Linked DNA regions of Canis lupus familiaris. The protein of the gene in region 1 interacts with the protein of each later gene in a biochemical or structural test. Links are inferred from orthologs where the notes say so. Each region holds a gene or a part of one and is shown on either strand. Other genes may lie near its edges.

Region 1 (6,693 bases):
TGACTAGAGTTTGAGTTTTATGTACTTAATTATTCCACACAGGAATTAAATCCATATAGCCAACCAACTGTCATGCAGTTGGTTAAAGTGTTAAGATAATTAGCTAAAAGTAAGTAAAATGATTTAATTTTTTGGATGATTGCTTTAAAATGCACGGTTTATCATTGTTTTTTCTCAACACTGTTCAGAAAAGTGAATTACTTTTTATGCTTATTTCTAATCCTTTAAGAATGCATTGATTGCTTTTCTTGAAGGTAATTTTGCAAATACAAAATTATTTTAACTAATCATTTCTCTGAACAAAGAAAATGATACTTAAGTATAAAAATTAAAAACAGAATTCTTATATAAGCACAGTACAAATCTGAGTCTCTTTTGCTCCCTTGAGTTAGAAATAGCTATTTTCTATAAGCCTTTTAATTTTTTACTTTGCCATCTGTTAAGAGTCACTAGCTTCTGCCTGTTGCATATGCTGAGATTGAGCCACAGGTACTAAGAGCTTCTGTACCTCCTCATAGGCTCCAGCAGCTGCTGTGCCTGCTGCGGTTCCAGGAGTGGCACCCGTTCCTTCAGGGGTCTTCACGGACGTTCCAATCAGCAACATTCGTCGGGTAGGAATATTATCCTAAATATTTAGCTGCAGCCAAAGCTGTAGGGGGCATTTTTGCTCTGATTGTTCAGTTGCATCCACAGTTTGAAACACTACCAGAGACTTTTTATTTGGGATATTTGGATGATTGGTTGTAGATGTTTGGCTTGGCCAAATAAATACTTGGGATAAACAAACATTGCTCTGATAGATACTACTAGACGGAGTCCAGGTTTTGGTGCATATTCCAATTCCATATTCTAGTTCTGGTAATGTTTGAGGTAGCCATTACCAGGGAACAGGGTAAAGAGGCAAACAGAGCCCTGCATTAGGTAAAATCTCACCTCAGCTTAAGATAAGTGATGTTTTAATCTCTTTGATTTCAGGTTATTGCACAGAGATTAATGCAGTCTAAGCAAACCATACCTCATTATTACCTTTCCATTGATGTAAATATGGGAGAAGTTTTGTTGGTACGGAAAGAACTTAATAAGGTAAGAGGTTTGGAAATTCCAACTCTGAAATTCTAAAATTCTTGTTTTTCCCCACTAAACATTTACATTTTTACCTATATTTTTTGTGACAGTATGTTGATGATGGAAAATGGTGTCCTCTTACTAAATTTATTTATTTATTTTAAAGAGTGGGAGACTGGTGGGTGGGGAGGGGCCAAGGGAAAGGGAGAGAGAATCTCAAGCAGGCTCCACACCCAGAGCGGAGCCTGACTCAGAGCTGGATCTTACAACTCTGAGATCATGACCTGAGCCAAAATCAAGAGCCAGACTCTTGACTGAGCCACCCAGGCATCCCAGTTGTCTTCTTAATTTTAACTTGCTGAGAGAATATCTTGGAGAATTTTTGTTTTCTAACCCTTGATTAAAATTTCTCATTTAAAGTTGATTTTGCGGGATCCCTGGGTGGCGCAGCGGTTTGGCGCCTGCCTTTGGCCCAGGGCGCGATCCTGGAGACCCGGGATCGAATCCCACGTCAGGCTCCCGGTGCATGGAGCCTGCTTCTCCCTCTGCCTATGTCTCTGCCTCTCTCTCTCTCTCTCTCTATGTGACTATCATAAATAAATAAAATTAAAAAAAATTTAAAAAAAAGATTAAAAAAAAAAAATAAAGTTGATTTTGCCACGGATCCATTTTAGCCTAGCACAATCACTATGATTCTATGAGGCTAGATAAGAAACAGTATGTTTACTCTGTTTACAGTTAAGTACCAACTACCTACTTATGCTTAGCATGAGGCACTTTTAGGAATACAGCATAAGTCATAGTCCTCCATGAGCTTAAGTTTTTAATCTAATGGAGATAATGCATGTGAAAAACAGAAGAGGCAATTTTTATTAAAGTAAAAATACCCGTTGGTAGGTCAATTTCTTTATGGTAATGCCCCTTGACTGCTAAATTACACTGTATAGGTTAAGTGTTCTAGGAATTCAGAGAAGGAGGACACCAATAAAAGTAGTTGGGGAATTCACAGTGGTGTGGGAAAAACTTGATTAAGCTATGGAGAACAGGAAGGGTTTGCATTGGCAAAGAAGTTGAAGATAGTTCATTATACTGATGGAATATCATAAAGGCAAAATGCTTTTTAAAAAGGACGTAAGTGGGCAGCCCCAGTGGCTCAGCGGTTTAGCGCCTGCCTTCAGCCCAGGGCACGATCCTGGAGTTCCAGGATCGAGTCCCACATTGGGCTCCCTGCATGGAGCCTGCTTCTCCCTCTGCCTGTGTCTCTCATGAATAAATAAATAAAATCTTTAAAAAAAAAAAAAAATTGCATAGGAGGGACACCTGGGTGGCTCAGTGGTTGTCTGCCTTTGGCTCAGGGCGTGGTCCTGGGTTCCCAAAACAAGTCCCGAATCGGGCTTCCTGCAGGGAGCCTGTTTCTCCCTCTGCCTGTGTTTCTACCTCTCTCTCTCTCTCTCTGTGTGTCTCATGAATTTAAAAAAAAAAAAAAAAAAAAAAAAAATCTTAAAAAAAAAAAGAATTGAGTAGGAGGAGATATGAAAACTGTTTTCAAAGAAGTGAAAAGTAAAAGCCAGTGGCACTCAGCATTATACAGGTTATCTATAACCTCTCTGACCTCCTGCTTTTCCACTCCACTCCTTGCTCATTCTGCTCGAAAAAAATTGTCTTCCTGTTCCTCGACACTCTGCCTGTATACTCCTACTTTAGTCCCTTTGCACGTACTGTTCCCTCTGCATGGAATATTCTTCCCCTAGCATCCACCTGGTTTCTTCCTTTACCACCTTAAGGATTTGACTCAGTATCACCTTCTCTCATCTTCCCTGGTTACCTTATTCTAAAATTAAGGGAAGAGGAATGGGGTGAGTAATCAGTTTTCCCATTAGTTCTTTTCCTCTGTTTTTTTCTCTTTAACATTATCTTACATATTATATATTTCATTTATTTATTATCTGTCTACTCCTTTAGAATGTAAGATCCCTAAGAGTAGAATTTTTACCCATTTTTTTCCACTGCTTTATATCCAGGGATTTTTAGAACAGAGTACTCAAATATTAGATGCATGAATGAATAAAGCAAGAAGCATTAACAGGTAGTAACTGGCTATATGGCTTAAAGATGATTGCATGCTTTTACTAGCAAAATGGTAAAGCTATTTTATAATCTATTTGAAAATTAGACATGAAAAGTATGCATCCAGTGTATTATTTTATTCTTTTTAACAGTTTTATTTAGGTACATTTCACATATACCATTCAGCCACTTAAAGTTTACAATTCAGTGGCTTTTAGTATATCCTGAGTTCTATGACCATCACAATGGATTCTGGAACATTTTCATCACCCCAAAATGAAATCATTCTCCCATTACCTTAGCCCCCACTCCAATCCTCCCATCTTCCCCAACCCTAGATAATCACTACCTACTTTTTGTCTTAGATCTGCTTGTTTTGGGTATTTCCTGTAGGAATAGGGATTTCATTGAATCTGTAAATAATTTGGGGAGTATTGTCTTCTTAGTACTGTTCCTACTCCATGACCATGGAGTGTCTTTCCATTTATTTAGGTCTTCTTTCACTTCTTTCAATAATTTGTACAGTTTTTCAAGTATAAGTTTTTGTACTTCTTTTGTTAAATTTATTCCTAGATATTTTATTCTTTTTAATACTATTATAAATTTCATTTTCAGAGTGTTTATTGCTATTATAGAGCAATACTGTTGATTTTTGTGTATTGCTCTTGTATCCTAAAACCTTGTTTTTTATTTAGTGTTAAGATTTTCTTTTTTTTTTTTTCTTTAAGATTTTCTATATGCAAAATCATTCGTCTCCAAATAGAGATAATTTTGCTTTTTCCTTTCCAATTTGGATGTCATTTATTTCCTTTTCTCACCCAACTTCTTCAGCTAGCACATCTAGTAAAATGTTGACTGGAAGTTGTCTTGTTCTTGATCGTAAGAGGAAGTAAGTCTTTCACTAAAGTACAATGATGATGGTTGTGGGACTTTTGTAGATCTGTTTTATCATGAGATGTGGGAAGTTCCTTTCAATTCCTAGTTTGTTTGTTTTTTTTTTTTTTTTTCAATTCCTAGTTTTTATGAAGTGGTAGTTGAATTTGCTCAAAAGCTTTTTCTGTGTCTATTGAGATGGTCATGTGATTTTTGTCCTATATTCTGACATTATTACATTAATTGATCTTCAGATGTTAACCAACCTTGCATTTCTGGGACAAATTCCATTTGGCTGTGGTGAATAATCCTTTTCATATATTGCTGGATTTGGTTTGCTAGAATTTTTTTGAGGGTTTTTGGATCTGTATTCCTAGGTATTTGAGTTTTATTTTTTCTGGGTTTTGTTTTTTGTGTGTGTGTTTTTTTTTTTTTTTTTACTGTGATATCTTGGTCTGGTTTTGGTATTGGGTTAATACTGGTGTGTCAGAATGAGTGGAGAAGTGCTCCTTCTTTTGTGTTTTGGAAGATTTTGTGAAGAATTGATATTCTTCAGATGTTTAGCAGAATTCACCATTTGGGGAAGTCATCTGGGTCTAAGTTGTTCTGTGTGGGTATTTTTAAAATTATTCAGTCTCTATTACTAGTTACAGATCAATTCAGAGGTTTTATTCCTTTTTGATTCAGTTTTGGCAGCTTGTATCTTTCTAGGAATTTTCCATTTCATCTAAATTATCTAATTTGTGGGATAATTGTTATAGCATTACCTTACAATTTATTTGGTAGGTTATGTAGTAACGTCCCACATCATTTCTGATTAGAAATATGAGTCTTCTTTTTTCTTTGTCAGTCTAGCTGAACATTTATCATTTTGTTGATCTTTTCACGGAACCAACTTTTGGTTTTGTTCAGATAAGTGAAAATGAAGGCATAACATACCATAACTTAAGGGATACTGCTAAAGCAGGACTTAGTAGGAGGCTTATAGCTACAGACCTACATTAAAGACCTACAAAAAGGCCTACATTAAAAAGATGAAAAAACCAACTTTTAATTTCATTTCATCCTTTATACCTCAGGACATTTGTATTCTCCCCCCCCCCCCCCCCCAAGTCCCTGCCAGAGGTTATGTTTCAGTGTTTGGGAAGAGAGTTTAAGAAACTACGATGGTTTCTTGTCTTTGCAGATGTTAGAAGGGAGAAGCAAAATTTCTGTCAATGACTTCATCATAAAAGCTTCAGCTTTGGCATGTTTAAAAGTTCCTGAAGCAAATTCCTCTTGGCTGGACACAGTTATAAGACAGTAAGTAAGATACTGCTGGTCAAGGTATATGTATCCACCAGCAGATTTCTTGTGCTATCTCACATGTAACTAGGAATATAGGGGATAAGGAGAAATGGAATACAGGGAGGGAGATGACTTCCATAGGCAAAACAGTTTGAAAACAATGTAAAACTATTTATAAGATAAGGCTAAATTTAGTTAGTGAAGACTACAAATTCTACGAGTTTAGAGAGGCAGATAAGTTTACAGATGTGAATAATTAAGTTGATAACTGTTATAAAGCAGGGTTGAAATGATTTTTGCTCACCAATTAGTTCTGCTGAATTCTAATGGGAGCAAATTGAAAACAAAACCAAGAAGCATATTTGTTAATATTATGGTGGCATTGTGAGTGGCATGGTGCTCAGTGTCTTCCCATGTCTCATTTTAATCCTTAGGACCACCTTATGAACTAGGGCTTTCACTTCTATTTTACAGGTGAAGAAACTGAGGGTTCAATGAGTTAAATAACTTTGCTTGAATTAATATGTTATAGTAAGTAGCAAAACTGTGATTGGAATCAAGATTCTGACTTCTGCACCTAGGTTTCTTCTACTATGTAGATTTTTTTATATTATATAAAATAATAGTATATACATTAGAATATTGCTTTGTGGCTTACAGTGACCTATTTAACTTTTATTTATTTTTTTTTTTTAATTTTTATTTATTTATGATAGTCACACACACAGAGAGAGAGAGAGAGAGAGAGAGAGGCAGGGACATAGGCAGAGGGAGAAGCAGGCTCCATGCACCGGGAGCCCGACGTGGGATTCGATCCCGGGTCTCCAGAATCGCGCCCTGGGCCAAAGGCAGGCGCCAAACCGCTGCGCCACCCAGGGATCCCCTATTTAACTTTTAATCTGTGGTCTACTCTCAAGAGGCAAATACGACTTTTTTTTTTTTTTTTTTTTTAAGATTTTATTTTTAGAGAGACAGCATGAGCAGGGGCAGAGCATGAGAGGGAGAGGAAGAGAATCCTAAGCAGGCTCCATGCTCAGCAGGGATCCTGACATGGGGCTTGATCTCTCAACCCTGAGATCATGACCTGAGCGGAAATGAAGAGTCAGATGCCTAATCGACTGAGCCACCCAGGCACCTCTATCTTCATATTATTAAATAACATTTTCCTGTTTCCTTTTATGGATTTTTCATTTTATCAGCTGATTTGATATCAGTGAAGATTAAAATTTAGCTTTTTTGTACCCTACACACACACACACACACACACACACACACACACACTGTTATCCTGCCAAATCGATTATAGCACAAATTCTGGATAAATCAGTATTAATATTTTTATGCCTATGAAAATATTATTTATGATTAAGACATGTATGCTGTGAATACTGACCAAACTGA
Region 2 (7,179 bases), on another chromosome or scaffold:
TGTAGTGGGAAATTAGGCCATGGTGGGGTGTGGGATGGGAGGTTGGTGGGAGTTTAACCTCAGCATCTTCTAACCTAGCTTGACCACCCCATACCACTCCCATTATCACCCTGCAGCAATCTCTGCAGAAGGAATTTTGATCCAAGCAGAGGCCACAATATAAAGGTCCAGCACTAAGGAGAGGATCAGAAGAAATCTCTCTCTCTCCTCTACCTTGCCTCAGAGTTTGCTGCCTTTTCCTCGTTACTTAACAATTTTTAAGATTAATTTTTAAAATTTATTTATTCATGAGATACACAGAGAGAGGGAGAGACACAGGCAGAGGGAGAAGCAGGCTCCATGCAGGGAGCTCAATGTGAGACTCGATCCCAGGATCATGACCCGATCCAAAGACAGATGCTCAACCGCTGAGCCACCCAGGCGTCCCATATTTATTTATCTTTTTATTTATTTATTTGAGAGAGAGACAGAGAGAGAGGGAGAGAGAGCATGCACACGGAGAAGGGCAGAGGGAGAAAATCCTCAAGCAGATACCTTTATGAGCTCAACATGGGGCTCAATCTCATGACCCTGAGAACATGACCTGAGATAAAACCAGGAGTCCAATGCTCAACCGACTGAGCCACTCAGGTGCCCCTCCTTGCTTAAATTTGGACAACAGTAATAGCTGTTATTGATTATTTACTATGTGCCAGGTACAGGACTGGGCTTTTTACACGCAAGCATCCTGTATGCTCCTCTGGGCAACTTGAAGACTGACTCACCAACATAGTGCATGATTTAATTGCTTGCTGGAAGGATATTCGGTGGTCCTCCCTGATAACTCTGTGGCATGCCTCCCTGGTGGTCCCAATTCTTTATTCATGCTCTTTTCCCTTCTATGTGCCTGGTGCTGGAGATAGAGCAGTGAATTACACAGACACAGACAGCCCTGCCCTCCTGGAGTTTAAAGTCTAGTGGAGGAGACAGATGAGTCAGCAAACGATTTCCAGATTTCCAGATTTGATAAGAGCCAAATGGTGTTAAGTTTGGGGAGGTCTGGGACACCTGGGTGGCTCAGTGGTTGAGCGTCTGCCTTTGGCTCAAGGAGTGATCCTGGGATCCGGGATCCGGCTCCTTGCATGGAGCCTCCTTCTCCTTCTGCCTGATCTCTCTCTCTCTCTCTTTCTCTCTCTCTCTCCTTCTGTGTCTCATGAATAAATAAATAAAATCTTTAAAGAAAAGTTTGGGGAGGTCTAAGAAGCCTTTAGAGGGAGCCCATAACCCAGCCTGGCAGGGTCAGAGCCTTGAAGAATGGATAGGCAGTGAGGAGAAAGAATTATCCAGACAGAAGAGACAGCATTTGCAACGGTTTGGAGCCTGGAGGTTGCTCAAGGCGGTAGATAAGTATGGCTGGGAGTCAAGCAGGGCGACGTGGAGAGAGGAGGCTGGAGACTTAAGCCAAAGCAGATCGTGCAAGAGCTGGAAAGCCTCCAGTAAGAGAGCCCCTGAAAAAGTCTGTAAACAAGTTCAGATTTGCTTTTGAGAATGATCCCTGAGCCTCAGTTTCCTCATCTATATAATGGGGATAATAAAGCACAAGAGAGACACCTGGAGAATTAAAGGAGCTAATGTATGCAAACAGTGCCTGGTACGCAGGCTATTATTCAGTTAAGAGTCCCTTCCGTGGCAAAGCCTTGGGCACAGCTGGTGTTGACCGTAATCACATTCTGTTACACAGTAACGACCTATTTACTTAGGCCGCTACCTCCCAAACTGAGAAAACAAATGGCTGAGGGAAAAAACTACTTCCTTATCCTTTGTGGTTTTCCTGTTCTCAGCACAAAGCCCAGCACATATCGGGCACTTGGTCGGTGCGGCCCAGGGAGCGAACAGTGAAGAAGGGGGGACATCAAAGGGAAAGGCGGGGGTCAGCACGTACCACGTTCCACCGCAAGAACTCGCGCTCCTTTCCTGCGAGAGAGCCGGAGAGCGCAGGACGCTGGCGCAGGAATGGCTCCCAGGTCCCCCGCGCAGATCACCTGCCAGGACCTCTCTCTAAGGAACCCCAGTGCGAAGATGGTCGCTTTCTAAGGTCAAATGATTAGAGAATAATTAAAGTGTTGAGAACTGCACTCCCAGCGCCGATGTTAAGGGTGCCCCCGCCGCCGCCAGGCCTGCGTTGGGGTTTCCACTCTGGGCGCCGTGTTTTCCGGAGCCGCTTGGATCTTTGTGGAAGTGCTGGGGTGCTTGTCTACACGGAGGGTTAGCACGGGCGTGCATCCTGACCCCGAAGTTTGCAAACTTTCCCAGTCTGGATGACAGTGACCCGTCCCCCCAGGGAGCGCAAGCGGGGAAGAGCAGCTGGAACAGGTCCCTTCGGGAGGGAAGGGATTCGTTGAAAGCTGCCCAGACGATCGCAGGGAAGGCGAGTCCCGGAGATTTGGGGGCGGGGGGCGCGGGAGAGGCCGGGGACAGGCAGGAACGACCGACGTCGGCGGAGCCTGGGGTGGAGCGGGGCTCGGCCGGGAGGGGGCACGGGCGGAGCGAGCGCGCGGGAGGCGGACTCTCCGCGCGGCCTCCCGAAAACAACAGGCCGCCCGGGCGAGGACGGGGTTAAGGGGGCGGGCCCAGGGGAGCCACGTGCCGGGGCGAGAGGCGATTGGCTCGGCCCGGGTTGTTTGTGAGCGCCCATTGGCGCCGCCGGGGCGCCGCGGCAAGCCGATTGGCCGGGGCGGGGAGGACCGCCCGGGCCGGGGCGGGGAGGAGGCGGCGGGTCCCGTGTGCCGGCCGGGCTGGGCCGAGCCGAGCCAAGCGGCCGCGCCGCTCGCGGTGGGGACCGGACCCCGAGCCGGAGCCCGAGCCGGAGCCCGAGCCGCGGCCGCCGCCGCCGCCGCCGCCGCCGCCATGCGCTGGGTCCGCGCGCTGCTGAAGAACGCGTCCCTCGCAGGGGCGCCCAAGTACATCGAGCACTTCAGCAAGTTCTCCCCGTCCCCGCTGTCCATAAAGCAGTTTCTGGACTTCGGTAGGGAGTGGGCGGGGGGTGGGGTGGGGTGGGGTGGGGTGGCGGCTGGACTTGGGGGCCAGCGGGGCGCGGGGGGGGCGGTGAGTGAGGGAGACCCTGGTCTTGAAGGATCAACGCGGAGAAGAGAGGCCCTGCGTGACTGGGAAGGGTTGCTGGGAGGGGTCCAGGCAGGGAAGGGTTAAGGCGTGGGGTGGGGCAGGGGCCGGCCCTGAAAGGGTTAAGGTACCCTGGGGGAGAGCTCTCTACCGGGCTGTCAGTGGGAAGTGGGGGCACTGAGAAGGAGGGGTCCCAGTGTCTTGCTGGACTGTGCAGAGGTCTTGCAGAGTAAGGGACAGTCAGGCAAGGTGGTGATGTTAGGGCCAGAAGGGAGTGGGGTATATCCAGACAAAAAGGGTTAATGGTGGTTGTCCTAGTGACTCAAAGAGTCTGGAGATGGAGAGGAAATGGGGTGGGGATGCTGGTGGGAGTAACAAGGCAAGATTAGTAGATGCAGACATCTGGAAGGAGATCTGGGCTGGGCTGGGCACCCCGGGGTCAGGTGGGGACCCCGCTCTTTCAGAAAATGTCAGCAGGAAGGAGGTCGATGATCAGTATACCTCCACCCCCTGAAGGAGCGGGCCCCGAGCTGTCCCAGTAGGCAAGGACACTTGAAGAGCAAATCTGTTTGGGCCTGGCTTCCTGTCCCCAACAGGGCGCAGGCCTGGAGCACCATGAGGTGGAGTCAGGAGGCTGGCAGCCTTGGCTGCCCCTAGCTTCCTGGGCCAGGATCACCCACCAGCAACGCTCTGGGGGGGCCTCTGGAGCAGAAGCAAGGCTGTGCCAATGTAGCCACTGAAACAGGCATTGTGTGGGCCCTGTCTGTCTACGCGGTATTTCCACGGTGCCAGCTGGGGATTAGGAGGGGGTGCCCAGGTCTCTTAGGAGTTGAAGAGACAGTGCCTGGCTCAAGTTACAGCTGCGTCACTGATGGGAGGGGGGTGGGGAAGTGACAGTAGGACAGAGGGCCCCTGTTCCCCAGGACTTGTCTGCCTGTCCCCCTGCCCTACTTGAGCTATTCCAGAGTAGGAAAGCCCCCAGGGCCCATTCCTAGCCACCAGTAGTTGTCCGGTTTAAACTGGACCCTGCTTATATAAATGGGCCAGGTGGGGTTCACAGTAGCGTTTGGTCCACTTGTAGTACAGTGGGGGAAAGAGATCTTCAGAAGGGTAGTCACATGCCCTAGGTGGCAGGCTCAGAAGCAGAACTTAGACTAGCATCTAGGTCTTCTGACTCTAGGCCATGGCCTCAGTCTACCACCCCATCTTCATCTTGAAGCCAGACCAAGGACCAAGGTACTTGGGTTCTCATTCTTGGGCCCTGTGTGCCTCACACATGAGCATTAACATAAGGACAACTCTACAGTGGTCATCAAGACCAGCCTGGGTAAAGATGGACTGGGCCAGAAATGACACTGGGTCCCTGTAGCTGCTGTGGTCGAGGCATAGCATCCCTTAGGCAGGCCCAGACCTGGGAAAGGATGGTTTTCCCAGGCTCCTCTGCCCACCCGGATCCACCTCTCCCCTTCCACTCCACAAAGCAAGTATTTGCTAAGAGAGACAGAAAGTGAAGAAGTGAGGTAACTGAGGCCAGAGGTGGCTCCAGGTAGGCCTGGAAGTGGCCCTATCCCCTGCGGTTGAAGGCCAGCAGGGGGTAGGGGAGGGGACACAAGGCCAGGCCTGATTAGGCAGGGTGGTGTGGAGGTGGGAGCACTACAGGGGATTAGGAGAGCTGCCTGGCTCTGTGCCCTGATCACTTCTCTGAACCCTCAGGAAATGAAAGATTTAATTGTCCTGATCCCTGAGATGACCTCTGGCTCCAGTGGTTTGCAGCTCTGTTGGCTCACTTCTCTCTCTCCCTCCAGGGTCCAGCAATGCCTGTGAGAAAACTTCATTCACCTTCCTCAGGCAGGAGCTGCCTGTGCGCCTGGCCAACATCATGAAGGAGATCAACCTGCTTCCCGACCGAGTGCTGAGCACACCCTCGGTGCAGCTGGTCCAAAGCTGGTGAGACCCCTGGCCAGGTCCCTGCACCTCCTTTCATTCTACTGCTAGATGCTGCTAGGCTCCCAGAATCTCTGTGCTCCTGGCAGCCTTGAGGGAGGTGGGCACAGAGGGGAGTCACAGGGGCTCTAAAAGGCTGAAGAGTTGCCCAAGGCCAAGTGGAATGCTAAGCCAGAGCAGGGCCTGAGATAAAGTTCCTAGCCTCCATGCCTGTGGGCTAGCCCTATACTTACCAGTCTTCTTTCTCTAGAAACCCAGGATCCCAACCAAAACAAGGCAACATTGTAGACAAACAGAAACAGGGAGAAATGAATTTTCAAATTATATGATCCAAGCTACCAGTCATGTTGGAAAACAGACACAAAGATGGCACAGTACCTGCCCCCGAGAACTTTGGAGGGGCAAAGACCAAAAATCACAGCAGTAGCAGCAGAAAATCCTCTGTAAAGGTCACTCTAGAACTCTGTCCCAGGTTAGGTAACTAGATGACATTAACCAACGGCTGGTCACATGAAGAACAAAGAGGAGTTTGCTGTGTGACTGGCATGCAAATGGTTAATCTGGTTGGCCTTTGGTGGCACCTGTGCAGAAACCCTTTGCTAGTTCTTCTGGCAATGGTGTGGTATAACTATGGTTCCCTATGGATTCAGGAGCAGGGGCCTACACCTGCCATGAGCCAGCTCCACGCTGGGAACAGTAAAGCAGTAGCAGTGGCTACCCTCGGGGAGCCTGTGATCTTGTGGGGAGCAGAAGGGTGGGTAAACTGAGAGCCCAGGATGGTGGATGGTGGTAGGAGCAGTGAGCTGCTAAAGAGCTACTTTTACTTAAGAGTCAAACTAGTATTTAAAAGTAACAAAATTGGGGTTCTTTTCCTCCTCACTGTGGAAGTGTAACATGTCCCCTTTGATACTTGGAAAACATAGGAAAACGGAAGAGAATGCCAACCACTGCCTTCCACCCCATGACCAAACACTTAGAGTTTGGTAAGATTTTATTGGTGCCCTTCCAGCGTTGTTTCTATGGATGAATATGCATATGCAGGACTTACTCTGACTTAATGAGACACGGTAAGAAAAGTGTTTTGTGCGGGAGGCCAGGCACATAATAGGCGCACAGTGAATGTTAGTTGAATCGGAGAGTTGTAGGGAAGTTGGAATGGATGCATGGAGGAGGTGGCATGTCTCTGGGCCTTACAGGGTGCCTGAGTGAGCCTAGACCTAGAAGGAAAGGATGGGCATTCCAGGCCTTGGAACTGCTTGTGCCAGGGTGTGGAGGCAGGTAAGGGCCCAGTGAGGGCCTCCACAACCTCACTCTGTGCCTGTAGCGATTTCGGTGCGAGCTGTGAAGGGGATGGGGTAGTGGGCAGGGCCTGGCATTCCTATAGCTCAACCAGGTCACCCCCCGCTGGGCTCTGGCCCTCAGAAGTCCAGGACATCTGAGCCAACCAGCATTTCCCACTGCAGGGTGGTAGGGAAGTCACGGGGAGGAGACAGAAGGTGCCATCTGTTTGCCCACTCCTCCTCCAGCTCTGCTTGGCTGACTGGCCTGGCTGCCTCTCCAGCGGGCCCCTGACTCCAGGACAGGCCCTCTCGGGCCCCTCCCTGGACGCTGTGTTCCTAGGAGAGCCAGGGGATGTGTGTTGGGGTGTGGGGGAGCAGGGAGCTGCCTAACTGCCCATGAAGCCCCAGGCCCCTGCAGAGGCCATTCCTGGAAATCAGTTACATGTGTGTGGGATTGTGTTGGTCATTACTTCCAAGCTTCGAGGGAGGAAATGTCCAGCAACAGCAGGATGGAGTGAAGTTACACAAGAGAAAACACTTCCCAGTGGATTCAGCTTAGTGGAGAACAGGCCGTGGAATTGCTGGAGTGTCCTGATGCACTGACCAAAGCCTGCTGAAGTTGTTTCCAGAGAATGGGCATCATGGGCTGCAGCAAGAGAGTGAGGTCTGAGAGGAGGAGGGACTTTCTGATGGGGACAAGGTGGCCGCCTGTGAGAGAGTGCAGACCTCCTCCAGGAGAGCCCATTGCCAGCTTGGATGTAGAGGTGGTACAGGTGGGTAGGGTTTGCACGAGAGGAGGGGGGACACCGCACCAAGGAGCCCGGCAAGAGGACCACTACCCTCAGAGTCTGATGAG
Region 3 (7,297 bases), on another chromosome or scaffold:
GAGAGAGAGAGAGAGAGAGAGGCAGAGACACAGGCAGAGGGAGAAGCAGGCTCCACGCAGGGAGCCTGATATGGGACTCAATACCCGGGTCTCCAGGATCACACCCTGGGCTGAAGGTAGCATTAAACCGCTGAGCCACCGGGGCTGCCCAGGAATGAAATTCTGATACATGCTACAATATGGATGATCCTCCAAGACATTACAATAACTGAAACAAGCTAGTCACACTCACTCACACACACAAATACTGTATGATTTCACTTACATGAGGTAGAGCAGTCCAATTTATACAGATGGAATGGTCATTGCCAGGGCTTAGCGGAAGGCGGAAATGGAGAGTTACTGTTTAATGAATAGTTTCCTTTTGGGAAAATGAAAAGGTTCAGGAGGGGTACCTAGCTGTAGAGCCACCTGTAGAGCGTGCAACTTACGATCTCAGGATCATGCCTGATCCTTATCCTAAATTCATGCCCCACACTGGGTGTAGAGATTATTTAAAAGTAAAAAGAAAAGAGAGAAAGTTCTGGAAATGGATAGTGGTGGTGATTGAACAACAATATGCACATATTAAATGCCAATGAACTATATGCTTAAAGTGGTAAATTTTATGTGATATATATTTTACCACAATAAAAACCAATCTAATTAGAATACGAACAAAAGAACAGACACTTCATCAAGGATGGATGGCAGAAAAGCATATGAAAAGATGTTTAATAATTAACCATTAGAGAAATGTAAATTAAAGTCATGAGGGACACTGCTACACATGTATTACAATGGCTAAAATAGAAAATATTGATAATATCACACACTGGCAAGCATTTAGTGCAACTGGATGTCTCATACTTTGCTGGAGGTCATGTAAAATGGTATAGCCACTCTGGGGCAGCCTGGGTGGCTCAGTGGTTTAGCGCCGCCTTCGGCCCAGGGTGTGATCCTGGAGACCCGGGATCAGTCCCATGTCGGGCTCCCTGCGTGGAGCCTGCTTCTCCCTCTGCCTGTGTCTCTGCCTCTCTGTGTCTCTCATGAACAAATAAAATCTTAAAAAAAAAAAATAGTATAGCCACCGTGGAAAAACACTCCAATATAATCATACTGCTCGGTATTTACCTGAAGAAATGAAAACTAATGTTTAAAAAGCCAGTGTTCATTGCAGGTTTATTGGTAATAGCTAAAACTGGATACAAACCAAATGTCCTTCAAGGAGTGAATGGATAAACATGCAACCACTTAGAGATATAAAGAAACGTTGATACACGCAACAACTGGAATGGATTTCAAGAGCATTAGGCTGAGTGGAAATAGCTAATCTCCAAGAGTTACATATTGTACGATTCTGTGTTGAAATATTCTTGAAATAACAAATTATAGTGATTGAGAACAGATTAGTGGTTGCCAGGAGTTAGGGGTGGAGGAGGTAACAATGAGGTAACAGGAGGGAGGTGCTTTGTGGGGATGGAACAATTCTGTATTCTGGCTGTGGTAGTAGTTATGTGAATCTGTACGTCTAATACAATTCTATAATACTACACTCCTCCTACCCCTGCCAGAATGCATATAAAAACTGATGAATGGGGGATCCCTGGGTGGCGCAGCGGTTTGGCGCCTGCCTTTGGCCCAGGGCGTGATCCTGGAGACCCGGGATCGAGTCCCACGTCGGGCTCCCTGCATGGAGCCTGCTTCTCCCTCTGCCTGTGTCTCTGCCCCTCTCTCTCTCTCTCTCTGTGACTATCATAAATAAATTTAAAAAAAAAAACTGATGAATGCTGTATAAAGTCTCTACCCGAGTTAAGAGCATTGCACCGTTATCAATTTGGGGGATTTGACAATGTACTATGGTCATCCAAGATATTGGGCAAAGATAGTTGAAGGTCACATGGATGCTCTTTGCACCAGTTTCACAATTTCTTGTGACACTTAAACTCTTTCAAAAGAAAAGAAAAGAAAAGAAAACTTAAAGAAAGAAAGGAGGGGTGCCTGGCTGGCTCAGAAGAGCATGGGACTCTTGATCCCAGGGTCATGAGTTTAAGCCCCAGGTTGGGCATAAAGAATATAAAAGAAAAAAAAAAAAAAAAGAAAAGGAATAAAGTATTGATACACTTAACGACATGGATGAATCACAAAAACATGTTGCTGAGCGAGACGCAAGAATGATAGAATTCCCTTTACGTCAAGTTCTAAAACAGGCAAATTAAGTTACGGTGATGGCGATCAGATCTGTGGTTGCCTGTGGGGTGATGTGTGGGGAACGATCGGGAGGAAACGTTGAGGGAACTTTCTGAGGTGGTGGGGGAATGTGCATTTTACTGTGGTCGAGGAAGCGAAAAGCTCTCTTTAACACATTTCGCTTGAAATGACCAACCAAAAAACAAAAAAAAAGATTGAAAATTCTGGATGAAGGACTTTCTGACGACTGACAACCCGAAGTGACTTGAGGAAAAGTGGAGGTAACAGTCATCACGCGGGAGGGTTCCTGTGAGAATTACAGGAGCTGGACAGCACTTACTACGATGCCCGGCACACAGTAGGCGCTTCATGCCTCGATGAACACTCCGGTTCGCATTCCAGGGAGCAACAGACGGACAGCACGGTCCGGCCCGGGGACCACCGGGCTCGTTCAGAGCGTGCGCAGGCGACACTTGGCGCCCTACGGGTTTCAGTGCCCGCAAAAGGCTGACCCAACTCTGAAGGTCCCCGCAGCCTCAACCTAACGTTCCTCAGAACCTGCCTTCCGGGCACCGCGCCTCAGGCAGCACCGCTTACAGACGCGTCCCGCCGCGCAGCGCGCACCGCAGCAGCCGCCCGCTCCCGGGAAGTTGATTGGCCCCGGCCCCAGAAACAGCGGTAGTACCGCCCCACGCGCCACCTAGGCCCCGCCCCTCGGCCCCTCACCCGGCAGCGGATGGGCGGGGCACGCAGGCGCCGCGCGCTGCCATTGGCCTGAGCTGGCGCGGGAGGCGGAGCCTGAGGCGACTGCGGTCCTGCGGTGTTGTCATTCGGCGGCGGCTGGAGGACACGGTCAAGATGGCGGCGGTGTCTGGCCTGATGCGGAGACCCCTGGAACAGGTAGGCAGCGGCATGCGTGCCTCCGCGTGGTCTCTGCCCGCCTTGCGCCCCCTCTCAGCGTCCTCTCTCTCTCTTTTCGCCAGGTGTCGGGGTTGCTGAGGAGGCGCTTCCACCGGACGGCGCCGGCGGCGCTGCAGGTAGGTGGCCTGGGCGCTAGCCCGAATCCCGGGAGGGACGCGCCTGCGCCGTGGGGACAGGGACGGCACGGGCCCTGAGGTCCACGGGTTCCCACATCCTGCGTGGGACTCCGAGTGCCTCTGTTGCGACCCAGCGCCGGACACACCAGCAAGTCGCCCCGGCCAGGCTCACTGGAATCTGTGGGCGATCTGAGGAAACTAGACCTCGCGCTTCCTCCCTCAACCGCCCCATTTACATTTTTCAAGTAGAATATACATAACCAGATTTACCATTTTAAAGTGTATATTCAGCGGCAGTACTTCCGTTTACTATGTTGTGAGACCATGACCACCATCGGTCTTCAGAACTTTATCACCATCACACACAGAAACTCTCCACCCCTTAAACACGAACGTCCCATTTCCCTCTTGCTCCCGGTAACCTCTTTGGCACTTTCTGTGCCTTTGAATTTATCTATTCTAGGTGTGTCCTGGAAATGGAATCCTGCAGTGTTTGTCCTTTTATATCCGGTTTATTTCACTTAACATATGTTTTCAAGGTTCATTCATGTTGTAGCATGTGTCAGAATTTCATTTCTTTGTTTAAGGTTGAATAATATTCCATCTTATGCATATATCACATCTTGTTCCTCCATTCTGTCTGTTGATGGACATGTGGGTGTTTTCACCTTTGGGATTTGTGAATAATGCTGCTAAGAACACTGGTGTGCAAGTATCTGAGTCCCTGCTTTTATTTCTTTTGATCATCTCTAGAAGTGGAATTGTTGGATCATATAGTAGTTCTGTGTTCAACTTGAGGAATTTCCTACCCCGTACCCCCTCCTTTTTTTCTTTTTTCTTTTTTTTAACTAGAGGACTCTCAATCTGTCTAGTAAAATAACTTGTAGATTCTGAAGGTAGTGTTTGGAAGTTCCCAGTACCTAGTGAGTGCTCAAAACATAGTTTTATTTAGGCTTTCTTAACAGTTTTCTGTCCCATACTACACTGACTGTGGAAATAAAACAACTGAATAGAATTTTTACTCAGGAAACTTGAGCTGGTCTGGCCAGCAAACAGCTTTTGTTAAGTTTAGGTGCACATTAAGAAAAGCATTCAGTATTTTCATTAACAAATTCAGCCAAAGACTGTGTATGAAAATGTTACTTTTAGAATTCTTTGAACTTTTTTTTTTTTTTTTAGAGATTTATTTGAGAGAGAGAGAGAAGGGGCACAAGCAGGGGGCAGAGATAGAGGGAAAGGGAGAAGCCGATTCCCTGCTGACCCTGCTGAGCAGAGAGCCCACTGCAGGGCTCAATCCCAGGATCCCGGGATCATGTCCTGAGCTGAATGCAGATGCTTAACCAACTGAGCCACCCAGGTGCCCTCCCCTCACCTTTTATTTTCATTTTTTTAAAGATTTTATTTATTTATTTGAGGGGGGGATTCTTTGAACTTTTAAAGAGAAGCCTGTCCTAGCGATAGTTTTCATACCGTATGCTGTAGGCAGCCTAGTAATTATAAAAGGAGAGAATCTCAGTAGTATCTGAAATAATCCTGTAGCTTATTGGCTGTTTTCCCCATACCTGTGACAGGTGACAGTTCGTGAGGCTATAAACCAAGGTATGGATGAAGAGCTGGAAAGAGATGAGAAGGTATTTCTCCTTGGGGAAGAAGTTGCCCAGTATGATGGTGCATATAAGGTAACCCAAGATATGTGAAAGCGATATAAATTGAGGTGGCTGTTTGCCCCCATATACACTTAAAAGTAATGAGATCATTGTGTAATTTTAGGTTAGTCGAGGCCTGTGGAAGAAATATGGCGATAAGAGAATCATAGATACTCCCATATCTGAGGTGAGCCTTCCATCAGGACGCAGACTTTTCAGGGGCATGTTAAAGTGTACACTGTTCTGATTTTTATGGATTTTCACTTGTGTTTGTGTTTTACTTCTAGATGGGCTTTGCTGGAATTGCTGTGGGTGCAGCTATGGTGTGTAATCCTCTTTATGAATCTCATCTAAAGAGATTTTTTTTTAATAATTAAAAAAATTTTTTTTGTATTTTTTATTGGAGTTTGATTTGCCAACATATAGTATAACACCCAGTGCTCATCCCGTCAAGTGCCCCCCTCAGTGCCCATCACCCAGTCACCCCATCCCCCCACCCACCTGCCCACCTCCCCTTCCACCACCCCTTGCTGGTTTCCCAGAGTTAGGAGTCTCTCATGTTCTGTCACCCTCTCTGATACTTCCCACTCATTTTCTCTCCTTTCCCCTTTAATCCTAAAGAGATTTCTTTTAACATGACCTTTTAAAAACATTGAAGTTTGGAGTGGTTGCCACTTTTTATTGCTTTTTAGTTTTTCTAAGATCTCTGTTTTTTATTTGACAGGCTGGGTTGAGGCCCATCTGTGAATTTATGACCTTCAATTTCTCTATGCAAGCCATTGACCAAGTTATAAATTCAGCTGCCAAGACCTACTACATGTCGGGGGGCCTTCAGCCTGTGCCTATAGTCTTCAGGGGGCCCAATGGTGCCTCAGCAGGTGTGGCTGCCCAACACTCACAGTGCTTTGCTGCCTGGTATGGGCACTGCCCAGGCTTAAAGGTGGTCAGCCCCTGGAATTCAGAGGATGCAAAAGGACTTATTAAATCAGCCATTCGGGATAATAATCCAGGTCAGTAGAGTGAGCCTTGGGTCTCTTTTGAACATTGAGGAACTAAGTTGAAATCTTTGCCTGGAAGGAAGCCGTTTAAGGGTTCTAGTTAGGCTTAGACATATAAAATGTTATGATTTACAGATACAGCAAAGACCATTAAAAAGGTGTTGTTTTTGCTTTTCTGACTATATGGGGCCTATTAGGTACCTACAACACCATTTTAACTACAATAGATAAAATTAGGACTGACCAGACTATAGATGCCAGTACCTAAACCATCCTCTCAGGGCTACTGGACACAATAGATAGGAGGCTTCCTAATCTGCACAGTGAAACTTTGCACAAAATGAATGATAGTTATGTATATACATTTGGTCATGTAGTTAGTTCTGTTAAACATTTGTATTTTGTAGTGGTGGTGCTAGAGAACGAACTGATGTATGGAGTTCCTTTTGAATTTCCCTCCGAAGCTCAGTCAAAAGATTTTCTGATTCCCATTGGAAAAGCCAAAATAGAAAGGCAAGGTAAGAGCACTTAGTACATGCTAAAGTATTTGTAATCTAGCTCCTGTATTTATGTTTGTCAAATTCTTTTTTTTTTTTTTTTTCCAAGAAGTGTGGGAGGGCCAGAGGGAGAGAGAATCTTAAGCAACCTCCATGCCCAGCAGGGAGCCCAACCCAGGCTCAGTCTTTTTTTTTTTTTTTTCCAGGCTCAGTCTTAACAATCTTCATGACCCGAGCTGAAATCAAAAGTCAGACACTTAAGTGAGCCACCCAGGCACCCTGGTCGAACGATTCATTCTTGAAGTTCCTGCCCTTTACTTTGGTTAGGAAATTATCAAGTTAAGAAATCCATCATGTTGGGGATCCCTGGGTGGCTCAGTGGTTTAGCGCCTGCCTTTGGCCCAGGGCGCGGTCCTGGAGTCCCGGGATCCAGTCCCGTGTTGGGCTCCCGGTAGGGAGCCTGCTTCTCCCTCCTCCTGTGTCTCTGCCTCTCTCTCTCTCTCTCTCTATGCCTATCATAAATAAATAAATAAATCTTTAAAAAAAAAGAAAAGAAAAGAAAAGAAATCCATCATGTTGAGGCACCTGGGTGGCTCAGTTAGTTAAGTGTCCAGCTGTTGGTTTGGCTCAGGTCATGATCTCAGGGTCCTGGGATCAAGCCCCATGTCAGGCTCTGCACTCAGCATGGAGGGTGCTGAAAATGATCTCCCTCTCTCTCTTTCTCTCTCTCCCTGTGCTCCTCACATGCTCCTGCTCTCGCACACATGTGCTCTCTCCTCCTCTCAAATAAAATCTTGAGAAAAAAGAAATGAAGAAATGTGTTACACTTTCCTCATAAACTTTTGTGCTTTCCTGATTCTCAGTCCAGTAGATTTGTATTTCATTTTTAGGAAGGCTATCACATTCCTCACCTCACTGGAACAGAGTTGAATTTTATAAATGAACAAGAG

Evidence for each region. The genes of interacting proteins can lie anywhere in the genome.
Region 2: the proteins of DLAT (region 1) and PDK2 form a complex in vitro, tested with the Homo sapiens proteins (2 studies listed by BioGRID). The link is inferred for Canis lupus familiaris from reciprocal best matches to the Homo sapiens genes DLAT and PDK2.
Region 3: the proteins of DLAT (region 1) and PDHB form a complex in vitro, tested with the Homo sapiens proteins (2 studies listed by BioGRID and IntAct, with this or other methods). The link is inferred for Canis lupus familiaris from reciprocal best matches to the Homo sapiens genes DLAT and PDHB.

What each region holds. Positions count from the first base shown.
Region 1 is NC_049226.1:21,102,399-21,109,091, reverse strand, and holds part of DLAT (dihydrolipoyllysine-residue acetyltransferase component of pyruvate dehydrogenase complex, mitochondrial), read left to right. Parts: intron 1-518; coding exon 519-611; intron 612-975; coding exon 976-1,083; intron 1,084-5,191; coding exon 5,192-5,307; intron 5,308-6,693.
Region 2 is NC_049230.1:26,048,395-26,055,573, forward strand, and holds the start of PDK2 (pyruvate dehydrogenase kinase, isozyme 2), read left to right. Parts: upstream 1-2,846; 5' UTR 2,847-2,886; coding exon 2,887-3,004; intron 3,005-4,904; coding exon 4,905-5,046; intron 5,047-7,179. UniProt on the Homo sapiens protein: Kinase that plays a key role in the regulation of glucose and fatty acid metabolism and homeostasis via phosphorylation of the pyruvate dehydrogenase subunits PDHA1 and PDHA2.
Region 3 is NC_049241.1:32,435,311-32,442,607, forward strand, and holds the start of PDHB (pyruvate dehydrogenase E1 component subunit beta, mitochondrial), read left to right. Parts: upstream 1-2,964; 5' UTR 2,965-3,027; coding exon 3,028-3,069; intron 3,070-3,152; coding exon 3,153-3,206; intron 3,207-4,777; coding exon 4,778-4,885; intron 4,886-4,976; coding exon 4,977-5,039; intron 5,040-5,139; coding exon 5,140-5,175; intron 5,176-5,576; coding exon 5,577-5,862; intron 5,863-6,257; coding exon 6,258-6,368; intron 6,369-7,297. UniProt on the Homo sapiens protein: The pyruvate dehydrogenase complex catalyzes the overall conversion of pyruvate to acetyl-CoA and CO(2), and thereby links the glycolytic pathway to the tricarboxylic cycle.